2 linked regions of the Notamacropus eugenii genome follow. The protein of the gene in region 1 interacts with the protein of each later gene in a biochemical or structural test. Links are inferred from orthologs where the notes say so. Each region holds a gene or a part of one and is shown on either strand. Other genes may lie near its edges.

The links. The genes of interacting proteins can lie anywhere in the genome.
Region 2: the proteins of BMP7 (region 1) and ACVR1 form a complex in vitro, tested with the Homo sapiens proteins (2 studies listed by BioGRID). The link is inferred for Notamacropus eugenii from reciprocal best matches to the Homo sapiens genes BMP7 and ACVR1.

What each region holds. Positions count from the first base shown.
Region 1 is NC_092872.1:508,734,079-508,741,570, reverse strand, and holds the start of BMP7 (bone morphogenetic protein 7), read right to left. Parts: upstream 3,014-7,492; 5' UTR 2,934-3,013; intron 2,480-2,933; exon of another isoform or gene 2,314-2,479; 5' UTR 2,258-2,313; coding exon 1,837-2,257; intron 1-1,836. UniProt on the Homo sapiens protein: Growth factor of the TGF-beta superfamily that plays important role in various biological processes, including embryogenesis, hematopoiesis, neurogenesis and skeletal morphogenesis.
Region 2 is NC_092876.1:216,757,520-216,765,196, forward strand, and holds the start of ACVR1 (activin receptor type-1), read right to left. Parts: upstream 3,033-7,677; 5' UTR 3,018-3,032; coding exon 3,010-3,017; intron 1-3,009. UniProt on the Homo sapiens protein: Bone morphogenetic protein (BMP) type I receptor that is involved in a wide variety of biological processes, including bone, heart, cartilage, nervous, and reproductive system development and regulation.

The sequences.
Region 1 (7,492 bases):
TTGAGTATCAGGAGATTCTGAATTCACAAACAAGCTCTGACCCTTAGTGACTGTGTGACCCTGGACAAGTAACTTTGTTTTTCCTACTTCATAGGATTCTGTGAATTGTGAAAGGAAGTGAGGAAAGCACTTTTGTAAACCTTAAGTTTAACTTCAGTATTTCAAGTATTATGTTCACTTGAAGTATAAGTGTTATTATTTCTGCCAAAGATGAGAAGCTCAGAGCTGAGGGTTTGGGGACAGAGGTTCTAAGTAGACTGTAGATTCCACCTTTCCAAAGTCCTCCCAGCAGGTGGCCTCCACCTCTGAGGCCAAGGGAAGAAGATGCCCAATCAACTGCACACACACGCGCGCGCGCGCGCACACACACACACACACACACACACACACACACACACACACACACACACACACACACACACACACACACACACGCCATGGCATCTCTCCAAGCCCCCAAACCTTCCTGCCATTGTTGATGCCTGGTGAAGGCTGAGCGTGGGGCCCATTCCCTAAACTACCCTCCAGATTCAGTTCCGAGATTTGGAGACACCCAATCTCTGTGTTTGGTGGTTTGTGAGCCACACGTGATCAATGCTTAAAATGGATTCAGTAAGCCAGGGACCTATCATTATATATTTTAAATAGAATGCTTGCAATGGCAATGTTTTCACTCAAACTTGGCTGACTCAAGAAGGGGCATTGCTGTCAGAAAGCAAACAAAATCCTTCTGTCCTAGGGAGTCCAGTTAAAGGGGTGCAAAGAAGGCAAACGAAAGGGCAGGTATAACTTTATAGTAGAGAGAACTCCCCTCATAGAAGCTTGACCAGAAAGGTATGTTAAATGACCTCAACTAGACTGGGGGAGAGGGGAAGAAGGGGGTAAGAGAGAGAGACAAAAAGAGACAGAGAAAAAGAGATAGAGACGGGGGGGGGGGGGGGGGGGGGAAGAGGGGAGAGAGAGAGGAGAGAGAGAGAGAGAGAGAGAGAGAGAGAGAGAGAGAGAGAGAGAGAGAGAGAGAGAGAGAGAGAGAGAGAGAGAGAGAGAGAGAGAGAGAAAGTCATTAGGAAAGCAGGTTAACAGAAGCTTGGCCCTTTAAATCTGGCTAAGGCAGCTTCCCCCAATCCACTGGGATCTGTCCATTTGCAGTTGCCTTAGCTGGGAGCATTCACATGACTCAAAGCCTGATGCTTTGAACTGTGCCGAATCTCACTAGCTCTTTGCCTCTCCCGGTTTTACATCTTCCCCCAAGAGGTACAACAGCCAGGAAAGAGAGAAAGACTTCAGAAGACATTCCCTGTGAGGACACACACACACTCACACACACACTCACTCACACACACACTCACATACACACACTCACACGCTGGGTTTCCCTACCTGGGAACGTTCCCAGTCCACGTTCGCCTTAGACCCGGCAAAGAAAAACATCCGCTTTCTGTTTTGGGAAGGAGGAGGAATTCAGGTGGGAAGAAAGGTGTCTGGTGAGAGGGTGTGGGGAACAGGGGGAACTCAAGACAGTTAAAGGGATATGAGTCCTCATTACAGCAAAGAGAAATTGAGCTACTTCAAAGCGATCTCGGGAAGAAATTCTGCTTTCCTCCGATCTGATAGAATAAAATTATGAGCCTTTTCTATAGCCAGTCCTTGCTATTTCCCTCAAAAACCCAAATCCCCTTTTCAGTTCACCCTAGTGACTCCACAAAGGAGAGTGGAGATCTCCTTTGCTCGTTAAACAGCCTCCTCCCCATCATCTTCCCATAGAGGTACCTTGGAGCACCCATACCCTCTGTCCCACCTTGTGTGGGAAAAGTAAATTCCATTGACCCCACTCACCCAGATTGACGAAGCTCATGACCATATCTGCATCAGTTAGAAAGTTACTGTCCTGCAAACTGGCCAGCGGAGGACCCTGGGTGCTGAAGATGGGCTTGTAAGGGTAAGAGAACCCCTGGCCCTCTTCTCCGCCGACCTCCTCCTCCACTGACATGGCATTGTAGAGATCCAGCATGAACATGGGGGCTGAGTTCTGTTTGCCATGGAGGTGGGGCCTGGGCCGGTGGGGCAAACCCAGGATGGAGAGGATTTCTCGTTGCATCTCTCGGCGCTCTTGGCTGCGGAGCCTCCTGTGGATGAAGCTGGAGTGCACCTCATTATCCAGGGTGAAGTCGGCCAGGATGGAGCGCAGCAGTAGAAAAAGTGGAGACCAAAGGACCAGGAAGCTGGGGGGTCCCGGCTTGAGCCACACCACATGCATCTCTCTTGCTTCACAGGGCTCTCCAGGAAGGGGAGAAAGAGAGCAACTGGGCTAGCCTGGGGATCCAAATAAATACTTGACCATTAAATACAGCTAAAGTTTGGAGGGAAGAGGGAAGAGAGGCTGCTTCAGAGCCCTGGTCACTTGCTACACAACTTCCCCAGAGAGCCACTGCAAAGCATTTCTCATGGCTAACTTGTTCAATATTGCTTTTGTTTCCCCTCAGATTGTAAAATCCACATAGAGAAGACAGGCGACAGATGAATCTCCCCAGCGGACTGAGTTTGGCTTTCAATTCTTGGGGGGGGGGGGGGGGGGGTCCTCAGCTCTGCTCTCCTCTCTTCACTTCTCACACACACCAAGTCTCAAAGTGGTGTTTGAATGTTGCTTTGCAGACAGAGGCAGCGGGAGTTGTATCTTGTGGGAGGAGCAGCCAGTAAAACTCAGAGCTCTCTCTCTCTCTCTCTCTCTCTCCTCTCTCCTCTCTCTCTCTCTCTCTCTCTCTCTCTCTCTCTCTCTCTCTCTCTCTCTCTCTCTCTCTCTCTCTCTCTCTCTCACACACACACACACACACACACACACACTCACACACACTCACACACACGCGCTCACTCGCACAGAGAGACAGACTCCAAATTGCTTAGAGAAGAAAACCATATTATGACCCAGAGCTCACCGGCTTTCTTTTCAAGATGTTTTGGAGGCTCCGGGCTCAAAGCAGGGTGGGCTCTTCACAAGCAGTTAAATTAACCTAAGTGGTTTAGAAGCTGGTTTCAGAGTGCGCCTGCAGCCTTCCAGAACTCAATAACAATAGTTGGAAAGAAAGGAAAAGGGACAGAAATATGACTGTGCCCCCACCACCCTCCCACCTGAGCCTACTATCTATCTCCGTCTTACCACCCTCCCCCCTCAAACTGCTGTCCATAGAAGGAGCTCCCATTCACCTCCCACTGCCACTAGCACCACTACCACCACCACCAACACCACCACCACACACACTTTCCACTCCCGCCCAAGGGAAGAAACATTCTGGGCAGGAAAGCTGCCAGCAACGACACCCTTCTGCCCCACCCACCCACCAGCTGCTGCCATTAGTGCCAGGGGAGGATCCCAGGGAAGCACTTCAAGAAGGATAGCTGCCTTTTGTTTTTTATTTTTTTTGTGTGGGTTTTTTTGGTTATAGTCTGCCCTGACCTACATAGATAGTTAGCCCAAGGTCAGGAGAGCTAGAGGATAAAGGACCTAACAAAGCAAATTAATTACCACCTCTCCTTCCTGCAAGGGATTGGGAGCTTCAAAGGTTCAACAGGTGGTCTGGGAGTTGAGGTGATCTCCCTTTGTGGTTCTTCTCTGTGTCCCCCCCCCCCCCCACTTCAGGAGCAGGGAGAACCCAGATGACACTCTTCTTTCTAGTTAGTACTCTAGCCATGGGCTGTTATCCCAAAGAAATAGATGCGCACATGGGAAGCAGAAGACAGGGAAGAGCAGGTTGAAGCTGACATTTCTCTGGTCTTTCCTTTCCCGGGTAGGGTGGCTCCACCCTGAGCCTCTCTTTGGGAAGGCCAAATATGACTACTACGACTGATCTCCAGCTGAAGCAGGGGCCTGGACAAGAGGAATAATCCATTACAAGATTTACTGAATGCCTACAGTGTACTCAGTGTATATACTGGCCACTGGTAGCCATAAGGAAGAGAATATATTAGGTCCCTGCAAAAGGAATCTAGCTGGGGAGGATAAAACACCAATACAGATAGCTAAATACACAATATTACTTAAGTGCTTGAAGATGCAGAACAAAAAGCTAAGTAAAGTCTAAGGGAAGGAAGGTCATTACCAACTGAAGGCAATTAATTGGTATTTAAACAAAACTTTAAAGGTGAGGTAGGTAGGCACCTACCTCTACTACCTTTTATGTACTCACACAGTACTTTTTCTGAGTGGCCTAAAATGCTAAATAAAGAGAAAAATATTATCCCCAAAGTAACAGGACCTCCCCTACTTGTATAGACCTTTGTGCTTTTCAAAGTACTTTCACGTGTATTAATTATGTCACATGACTCTCACAATAATCCAGTGAGGTAGGAAGGGTAGGTATTATTGGTCCCACGGAACAGAAAAGAGCTGAGAGGTTAAGTAACTTGCTCAGAGTGACAGAACAAGGATGAAACCCCAGCCTCCAAAAAGTGTACTTTTCACTAGAAGCAAAATAGTTCCACTATTTTTGTGACAAATACACTTAGTCTCTCCCAACTGTTTCCCAGGAAAGCAGCAGGTCACCTAGCTATTTTCTTAGGCATGCCATCCTTTCTAATGCAAGCTTCAGAGTGAATGAACTCATGGTTATTATCCAAGACCTTTGTATAGATAAGATCCCCTTCCTTAACACCACAACCCTCAATTTGACTTATCTTTCAGGTCCATCAGGACTGAGGTGGTAGTTGTCTTCTATGCATCATTCCTCAAACATTTCATAGCAATCACAGTAGGCCCTCAATAAATGCTTTTTGGATGAATGATTATTGGTTGTATTGCTTAAAGTAGCAAACCTAATAATAGCTCACATTTATATAGCACTAGAGTTTTCCTCACAATAACTCTGTAAGTAAGGTAGTATGGGTACTATTATCCTCAGTTTACAAATGAGGAAACTGAGGCTTAGAGGAATTAAGTGACTTGCCCAAAGTCACACAACCAGTGATTATCAGAGTTGGCCTGGAATTCAGGTTTCTTGACTCCCAATTCAATAGAAAGGAACAGACTGACAAGAATGAGCTGAGTGAAGTGAATCAGAATCTGAGTTTGAAGAGACCTTAAAAGAGTTCCAGGAGCTCCTACAAGTGCAGAGCATCTGGGTGAAAAGAAAATAAATGTGTTAAAATCTACTTCAAAAGATCTTTGATTTCATCTGTGTGGGTAATCCCTCTCCTGATACAGAGCACAAACTTTCCATACTTTAAATGCAGCTAGGTCCTAATCAGTGCAAATAACAAATGAATCTTCTGAAATAAATGGTCCTATGTATTTGAATTTACACAATTCAGAGTTAATAACTAAGTAAAATATGGTAATGGATTCCAGCCCAATGGAAGCATGCAATGTGAATTCAAATAATGAGACCACTTCCCTAGATTCATTATTTGCACTAATAAGGACCTCAATGCAGATTAAATTACCAGGGGAGAGAGGGGATGAGAAAATCATCACCTAATGACCAAACTTCTGGTAATGAGCTTCTCTGTACTTAAATCCTTCAGACATGGTGTGTTACCAGAAGCCTTTACAGTTTGGAAGGATCACAGAATTATAGAAATTAGAACTGAAAAGGGCAGGCCTTCATACGATTCAGCTCCCTTACTTTACAGATAAGGAAACTGAGGTCCTAAGAAGTGAAGTGAGTTTCAGTTCAACCAACATAAACTGATTATCTATTTAAATGTGTATAGTGTTATAGATATTGAAATATATATGCCACAGACCCTGTTCTCAAGGTAGGAAGGGGAAAGGAGACAAGCATGCAAATCAGGATAACAGGAGAAAATGAGGTGAATATAAAGAAGAAAACCAAGCAAAATTCTATGGGAGATTTAAGGAGGGAGAGGTCACATCACTTGGGGAAAGAAATAGTAGAGGAAGGATGCACAGAGGAGGAAGCATCTGAGTTGGGGCTACTAACAAGAGAGTTGAAAGTCACCTCTGTGCAGGTAAGAGGCAGGTCTTTCACACTAGAAGGATCAGCCATGTCAACAGAAACAAAAAAAACTTTTTTGCTCAGTCCTTCAGGGAATTCTTAAATTATTGTCCATGTAGGCTGGTAAATTCATTTAAATAAAAGGAATCATTAATTTCTCTAACTACTTCTTTTTATGCCATGCCAAAGAAAAATTTATTAATAACTGACTGTCTGCAGTAAGCTATAACACATTTCTAGAGCTTTAGGGTTCCCTTAAAATACTTCCCTCATAAAAATTAAAAAACAAACCAACCAACTTTGGGCTGCAAGGTTTCTGAGGGGAGGGACATTTGAGGCACACAGAGGTTAACTGACTGCTTGAAGGTCACAGAGCTCTTAAGTGTTAGAACTAGATTCAAACTCAGATCATCTGACTCCCAAACCAGGGCTCTTTCCACTACATGAAACTTACTGCCTTTCTCATGAAAAGAAAAAAGAAATTTTCAGGATGTGAGGTTGGGGAACATTTTCTTAGAGTCCATTTCAGTCTCTCTGTACTCCACACTTCCTCCAACCCCCATTCCAGGCAGCAACCCCAGTCACTTTCCTGGGGCTTATCCAGTTTCCCCTCAAGCTTTCTCTGTCTTGGTGGCTTCTTCTGGAACTGGGATGGTGACAGCACCCTGTGCCTCATCCCAGAGGGGTGCAATCTGATATGCATATTAGTCTACTCTGCACCTGAGGGTTAGGTTCTCCTGGATGAAAGACAGATTGTAATGTAAGGTGCTGTTACGTGGTGTCTCCTCAGTCCCCTACAAAGCAGAGTCTTCACAGCCTGCTCGCTGTTCTCCAAGTGCTGGACAAGGATTTTTCATCGCATACATCATCCGTCACAGCTTACTAGAGGGATCTTGACTAAGTCAGCATATGTCGCTAAGGCAATAAAAAGAAAGCTGCTGTTGTGTGTATTACTCAGGCTAGGTAGGGGGCTTCATTTTCCTCTATAATGATAGAAAATCATATAGAACATGTAAGGCTGTCTCCAAAGTGAGAGGCTCTTCCTTTGGATCACTTAGCCCATGTGTACCTCAGTCTCCCCACATGCAAAATGGGGATGAGGCTCTGCATTTATGTGGGATCTGGAGTCCTGTGGATGGAAGGAAATCTGCTCTGGAAAGTCAAATTTTTTAGCATATATGAAATTCAATATTATTTTCCATGGAAATCTTTCCTTTCATTGAAGAACAGCCTATATAAGCTACCTCACCCTGGTGTTTTCTTCACCCCAAACTAGTTTTGCTTTTTTTTAAAATAGTATTGGGTGGGGGAGGGAGGTTAAGAGTATAAATGTCTTTTGTCAGGTTAATGTACACGTGGCACAGACCACAATTCCAAATGGAAATAAAACACATACATTTCTCCAAAGAAATTCGATGATGGAGCTGTGATTTCAAGTTCTGGTCTTATGAACCGCTGCCTATGGCCACAGTGTTGTTTATCATCATCACTTTTGTCTTTGTGTGTCATTTATATTAAATTTTGATTTGGGTTTTGAGCATTTC
Region 2 (7,677 bases), on another chromosome or scaffold:
GGCCAGATAATGTGTGACCCTGGAGAGGCTACTTACCCTCTCTGGGTTTCCTTTCCTTCATCTATAAAATAAAGGAAATAGGGTTAGATGAGTACTATGGTCCTTATTTCCAGCTCTAAATTAACCCCTCCCTAAAACTCTAGTCTAGTTTTACGGATCAAACCCAAAAGTTTCATTCACCTTCAAAATTCTTCACTTCCAAGTCACTCATATCACAGTTCATTCTTTCTGTCTTGCTCAATGCTTCTTCCACTTAGATCACTACTATCTTCTCTAGCCAGAGGAGCCCCCCAAAATCTAGGGTATTTCTTCCTCCCCATAACACCAGATGATTCATCAGTTACAATTTAAACATCCCAAATTGTACCTCCTTCATGCAGCTTTCCTACACACACACACACACACACACACACACACACACACACACACACACACACACACACACACTGTCAGACAAACTGAAGGCTGGGCAAGACCTTAATTTAGAAAACTCAAGGTCATCCGCTGCACCCTAAGCTATCACTAGTCATCCAAACTTTTGTCTTGCCACTGGACTGCTCAACCAGAGGGTGAGGTGAGGCTGAAGACTTTGTGTAATTCTGCCTCACTTCAATTCTTACTGAAGTCAAGACATCACCCTTGTGATATCATTGGACCTCTCAATAGCAAAGGATAAACATTAACAACAGGCTTCTACATCTCCATCCCAAATATATCTACATAACATTAACCTATATGTTATATCTTGTCCACTCATGTAATTTAAAGTTTCTAATCTGCACATCCTGCATACATCCACTGATACACCTCAGATGGCAAAATACTTATAAAGGAGAGTATCTGAACTCTTCTGAATGCCTATACAATTCACTGTGGCTTTCAACATTTATGCAGTTCAGGACTTACTACTTTGTTTTATAGTTAATTTTATGCAAATAGTCTTTTTAGAAACTTCAAAGTTCCAAATTCTATAGAAAAGCATATTATTCAACAATACTTAAACAATAAACAACTTTGAAAGATTTAGAATACAGTTCTACACAACGACTATTTAATTCCAGAAGACCTGTGATCGTCAAGCTACCCAAATCCTGAAAAAGAGGTGATAGACTCATTGTACAGATTGAAGATTTTTTTGTTTTTTGGATGTGATCAGTGTGGGAATTTGTTTTATTTGATTATACATGTTTGTAACAACAGTTTTCTTTTTCTTTTTTCTCAATGGGAGAGAAGAGATAAGGCAGATTTTCATTGTTTGAAAAAATTAAATTTGATTTAAAAATGAAAAGAAAAAGTGCACATTATTAAGTTGTAGTCTACTTGCCAAATTTTAACCTCCTCCTCAGCCAAGGATTTTGTATACACTTCAGTGTCACATACAGATTTTCAAAAAGTATTTACTGAATGAATGAATACAAACTTTGTACAATACATAATAATGTCTTATGAAATGAGCTACATTTTAGAAAATAATAAAATAATACCTGTGGTGTAGAAGTAAAAAGAATGTATCACTCAGAAAATGGAAGATATTTCTAGGAAGTAAAGCTAGGGAAAAAATGTTTTCTTCTACCAACTTAAAGAATAAAATAAAACTTTTGTGAAAAGTGAGGCCACTTTTAAAAATTTAAGATACACTCGCACTTAGGTCCCTAGTCAAAAACAGCCCTCTATCCAAACCTCAGCAAATATACTTGAACTTGACTCATTCAGAGAATCACTTTCTTCTTTTGATAGCTAAGTTTCAATCAAACATGGTTAACTCTCCAAAAGAGCAAGTATTAAGCAGGACTTAAGAAAAGAGGGTGGGAAGGAGAAGGAAGATGAGAACAAAAGAACCGCCCTCCCCCTCTCAAAAATCATTTAATATATCGTTTTTTTACTCTAATACTTTTGTCAAGCTCTGCAGCTGTTGTCTTTTGCAGTTGGCACTGATCATTGCCAATCTGGGACTAGTTTCCAGTGAAGACAGCATTGTTTTATTGGCTACTTAGGCAGTGCATGCACCATTAATGGAGTTTTTATCTCTCCATTTTCCTGTCAGTACAGAACCAGCCAGTCTGACTCTGTTATTATCATTAAGAAAGCTTATTTTTTTTCCACACACTCTTTAAACCAAAACAACATCTGGAACTTCAGCCTCTATCATATAAAGGGGAAACAGATTTAAAGGGGAGAAGGAAAATTCAAAAAAAAAAAAACCTAGAGTACAGTATAAATTGAACAACTACCAGATTCCAACCCTCTAACTTGCCTAAATAAATGTACTTTAGTATATTTCCAATGCCCTACTCAGCTGGAGAAGAAAATATCTTTTCCACAGCAATGCTGGGCTTCTGTTCTCTCAAATACTTTTTACATGAAAAAAAAATCAGCTTAGAAAAGTAATCTACAAAAAGAAAAAAAAACCTGAAGCATATTGCTTTCCTGAAGGACACATCACATTGTGAAGTTAATATTTAGACTATTAAGAATTTGGAACACAACTGGGGGAAAACATTTAGTGAAGAAAAAACCTTCTGTAGAAACTTTACAGCTCTGTACATTACTAGGAAAAACCTGGCGCCATTAAACCCAGAAAATATGTCCTCCTGTAACAGACAGCTGTCTCCTCTGTCATTTAAGCAAGCTTTTTGCTTAGATCACACTCAGTGAGTCATGGAATCGATAGGGGAAAACACAAAGCCAGACATGCTGCAGACCCACAGAGAGAGAAGCAAGTTCAAGACAGCGGCACCTCTCTCTCCCTCCAAGAGAAATAAATGCCAGTTAGACAGTGTGCACCCATGCAAGCAGCAAAAACGCACCCAGAAGGAGCCCTCGGCCAGCCTCTTGCTTCGGTCTTCCCTCATATTTGTGTCAATCACTTTCAATTAAAAACTGTTCCTAAACAGAACAAAAAAGTTCTAGACCAAGCATGAAATATATCAAGAAATACTTTCCCCGTCCCTCACATACCCTTCCACTGCCCCAATGAATTAGACACACGCAAGAGCTCAAAGGACTTACTTTCCCATTAATGCTTATCTCCAAGCAGAAGACTCTCAAAATATCTTAATGCAAAGAGAAAGCCACATTTGGAGTACCCATGAAGGAGGTTTGTTTTTTTAATATTTTTGTTGTTCCATTCAGGAAAAGAAAAAAATCCCAAAACACCACTAAAATGTCTGAACCATAGTCTCCTGCTCAGACTTGAAGCTGTGTGTCTTAGAGCCCCGTGCAGTCTGCTGTCTGTTGTAAGGATGGACTCAGTAACCTGATCCTCTCACAGTGGGAGATTTGAGTAAGCACTTCCTTCTCTCTCAGTCTTGCCTTTCTATTGTCCCACCCTGCAGGGCCAGCTGTTTCTGACAGCCAAATTGCTGCGTGCTAAGCAGTGAATGCTGTCAGAGAAGGAATTTTCATTTCTATAATGCATAGGCCTCCATGGACAAATTATACAGTTTATGGTCCTGGCTGCAGGAAGCTGCTCGACTCTTGAAGGGTTGCCAAAATGCAGCTTTCTCTTCTCCCCCTCCTGCCAACCTCCCAGCTGACAATCACCCCAAATGAGGCTGAATGACCAAAAGCAAAACAAAATGCCATGTTTTCAGGAATAAACAAAACGAACGTCAATGTTGGTGTAGCTGCACATTTTTAACATAAGGAGATGCAATGAGACACAATGAAATTCATGTCCCATCCTGGAACCACCTAGAATTACAGGCACCTTATAATACAACTCTCAGGCATATCAGTAAAAGCCCTGGCCCTGTGCCCCTGGTGGACACCATCCTCCCTCACTCAAAAAGGTACTGGGAAGATTCCATAGCAGAGAATTTCTCAAGATCCAAGACAGCTGTTCCGTACAAATGAGAATGAAGGACACCAAGGAAGGGCAGCCTGGGTGTGCTAAGGATGGTGTCCTTCATGACTATTATTCAAAGTGTGCTGTAAAAAAGCTTTTGCAGTATGTTAAAAAGTCAAAGCTATAGAGTCCTCCACATGGGTAGGAAAGCACTTAAAAAGTCCAACATCATATCAAGTTAACAAGCATTTATTAAGGGCTTTCTATATGCCAGGCATGGTGCTAAGGCTGGGAAGACACAAGCAGAAAGCCAGTCCCAGACCTCGGGAACTTTACTCTCTAATGGAAGAAGACAATACATAAAGAAAACTGAGATGGGGTGGGAAAAATAAAAAGGTACCAGGAGGGTACCAAGGGCAGCTAGGCTGTACAGTGAATAGAGTGCCTGGCCTGAAGTCAGGAAGATTTGTTTTCCTGAGTTCAAATCCAGCCTCAGACATTTACTAGCTGTGTGATCCTGGACAAGTCACTCAACCCTGCTTGCTTTAGTTCTTCATCTATAAAATGAGCCAGAGAAGGAAATGGTAAACCATTTTAATATCTTTGCCAAGAAAACCCCAAATGCAGTCATGAAAAGTCAGACACAACTGAAATGACCAAGCAGCAGCAACAACAACCAGATGACTTAGGGGGCATTGTAGAGAAAATCTAAAGAGCCAGCTGGAGTGTAGCCTGGAGAAATTGAAGACCAGGGTGATCTGGGGATAGTTCTCAAAATGGATGTTCTGTGGGGAAGTTGCTAATGGGAGGAAGAGGCTTCAGGGATAGAAAGTACTTCTAACGTGCGCAATCCAGGGATAGAGAAAGGCCAGAAGGTCAGCAGTGGACTTAAAAGTCTAACCTATCTCCTGGTGTCCCCAAGCATAAAACTCAGAATTTTCAAAACAAACTGTAGCACCACCCTCAATTAATGAACAAAGCATTAGATTTTTGGTTTGTTTCCTGAGATCCCCATTCATTATTTATTACAGAACTTTAGAAATAAGGTCCATAAACTTTAAAAAAAAATAGGTAGATAATTTTATTCAATCTCATCAATTTCTTTTGTAATCAATCCTATGCACTTTATTCAGTGTAATTAAAAATATTACTCTGAGAACAGGTCCATACACTTCATTGAACTGCCAAAGGTGTCTATGACATATAAAAAGGTAAAGAATCCCTGATGTAGTAGGAAGAACAATTTGGAGGTCCTATATAAATAAGTCCTATTATTTGGGATCAAAGACTTGAGTTTAAATTTCAAATCATATACTTAACAGCAAATATAAAAACAGTAACTATGACAAGTACTGGCATTTATGGATTGTAAGATTTTACCCTGTGACATTATCATATGATAACTAAGGATCAGAGGGATTAAAAACATAAGAAATGAAAGGCGGGACATGAACACAGGTCTTCCCAATTCGAAGTCCAGCACTCCACTCACCATAGGATGCACATCAGTTGTTTAACTGTGGGTAAGCCACTTAACTAACGTCCGTTTCAAGAGTTTAGTGCCATTTAAAGCTATTAAAAGCTCAGTACTGCATTAAGACTTTTTGGAATACCTTGTATAAACAGTAAAGGTATCAGATTAGATACTCTCTTTCGGTTAGCTTGTTGAGTCTTATGAACCCAGAACAGTCAGTAAAACAGATGCCCCTTGAGACCAGAGGGTTGTTTGACTTTTTTGTCTTTGTATTATAGTGTAATAGATATTCAATAAAAGCTTGAGCTGTTCATTCACTCTAACAACCCTCCGTCTTACAAATGAGGGAGCCTAATATACCTTCCCCTCCAATCTTTATCTCGAAGGATATAACCTTTACTTAAGTGAAAAAGTTGGGACCATCTAATGTGAAATCCTTATTATACACCTTAAAATCTCTTTTGTATTATCATTCACCATCCTCATCTCCTCTGTTCCAGTTTCTGACAAATGGGGGTGGTGGGTGGGGGCTTATCTTCCTAAATCACTTCCCTTTCAGAAAAAAAAATTACACTCTTTGCCTCCACTTTCTCCTGGTCTCTCCTGGTTTCTCTTATTTGTCCATTTTCTCCGCTTTCTCTTTTGCTGGACCATCTTCTACCACAAAACCACTGATATACTCTAAGACCTGGATCTTCATCTCTGAGCAGCATTCTTGTTCAAAAGTTTAGAGATTCCCTATTATCGCTAGCATTAAAAAAAAAATCTCTATTTTTCCTTAATTTATCTTTTTCTTACTGTTTACATGTTGTATTCCTCAGTAGAAATGTCTTTCACAGGACCTATATGTACAAAATATTTATAGCTGTTCTTTTTGTGGTGGCAAAGAATTGGAAACTTAGAAGATGCCACTAATTGGAGAATGGCTAAGCAAGTTGTGGTATACGATTGTGATGGAATACTACTGTGTTCTAAAAAATAATGAAGGAGATGGTTTCAGAAAAACTTGAGAAAACCTTTAAGAACTGATGCAGAGTGAAATGAGCAAAATCAGGAGATTATTGTACACAATAACAGCAATATTAGAATGATGAAAGAATACAATGATTCAAGACTATTCCAAAGGACTTGTGATGAAAAACCTGTTTCAGAGAGAAAAGTGATAAACTAAGTGCAAATTGAAGAATAATTTTTTTCACTTAAAAAAAGAAATGTTTTGGAGGAGCAAGGTGGCACAGTGCCACCACAGAGCATCGACCCTGGAGTCAGGAGGACCTGAGTTCAAATCCAGTCTCAAGACACTTGACACTTACTAGCTGTGTGACCTTGGGCAAGTCACTTAACTGCCTTGCCTTCCTCCCTCCAAAAACACAAATAAATAAATAAATAAATGAAATTTTAAAAATGTTTTCCACTTTTTATTTCTGTTTCTCCAGCACCTAGGAACAATTGTTCCCTACCTAAGAAAGGCTACAGGACATCTCTTCTTTCCTAATCTCTTGTCTCTCTAACACCTAGTAAGTATATACATTAAAAAAAACAATTTTTATTTATTTTGTTTTTAATTTATGGAATAAAGCAAGCATTTTCATAACAGTATAATTTTTCAAAATGATTGTACATGAAACTGCAAATCATATGTACAGCTTGCAATTCCTTTTAAAGTTATCATGTAAATTTCTTTTTTTCCCTTTTTTCTTCCCTTCCCCCCTTTACCTAGAGATGGCTACCATAGACACAAATAGACATGCATATGTAAAATCATTCTATATATATTTCTATTTACCAGTTATTCTTCTGAATGCAGACAGCTTCTTCCTTCATACGTTAGCTAACTTAGGTAGTTATATAGTCAAAATGACTTACTTGCTCAAAGTTGTTCTTAAAACAATATTGCTTTTAGTGTATACAATGTTCTCGTGGTTCTGTTCATTTCACTCCATTATTTTGTGCAAGTCTTTTCATGTTTTTCTAAGATCACTGAGCTCATCATTTCTTATAGTACAGTAGTATTTCATCACAGGATATACATTTCTAATAAGAAAGGAAAGGACTGATGGATTTGTTAACTACTATGTGTGTGCTGTTAAACACTTTAACACTTTAGAAACCTTATCTCATTTGATCTTTACAGCAGCCCTGAAAGAGGTTGGTGCTATTATGATTCCCATTTTACAGCTGAAGAAAGTGGGATAGGCAGAGGTTAAGTGACTTGCCCAAAGTTACACAGCTAGTCACGGTCTGAGGCTAGATTTGAACTCAGGTCTTCCTGACTCCAAGCCCAGCACACTATCCACTGTATCACCTAACTGCCTCTAATTGATTGCTATCAGATCTATTTCAGTTCATGTCTCATTTCCTTAGTAAACCATTAGTATCCTGGAGAACAGGGACTGCTATATTTCAGGAAGCATTT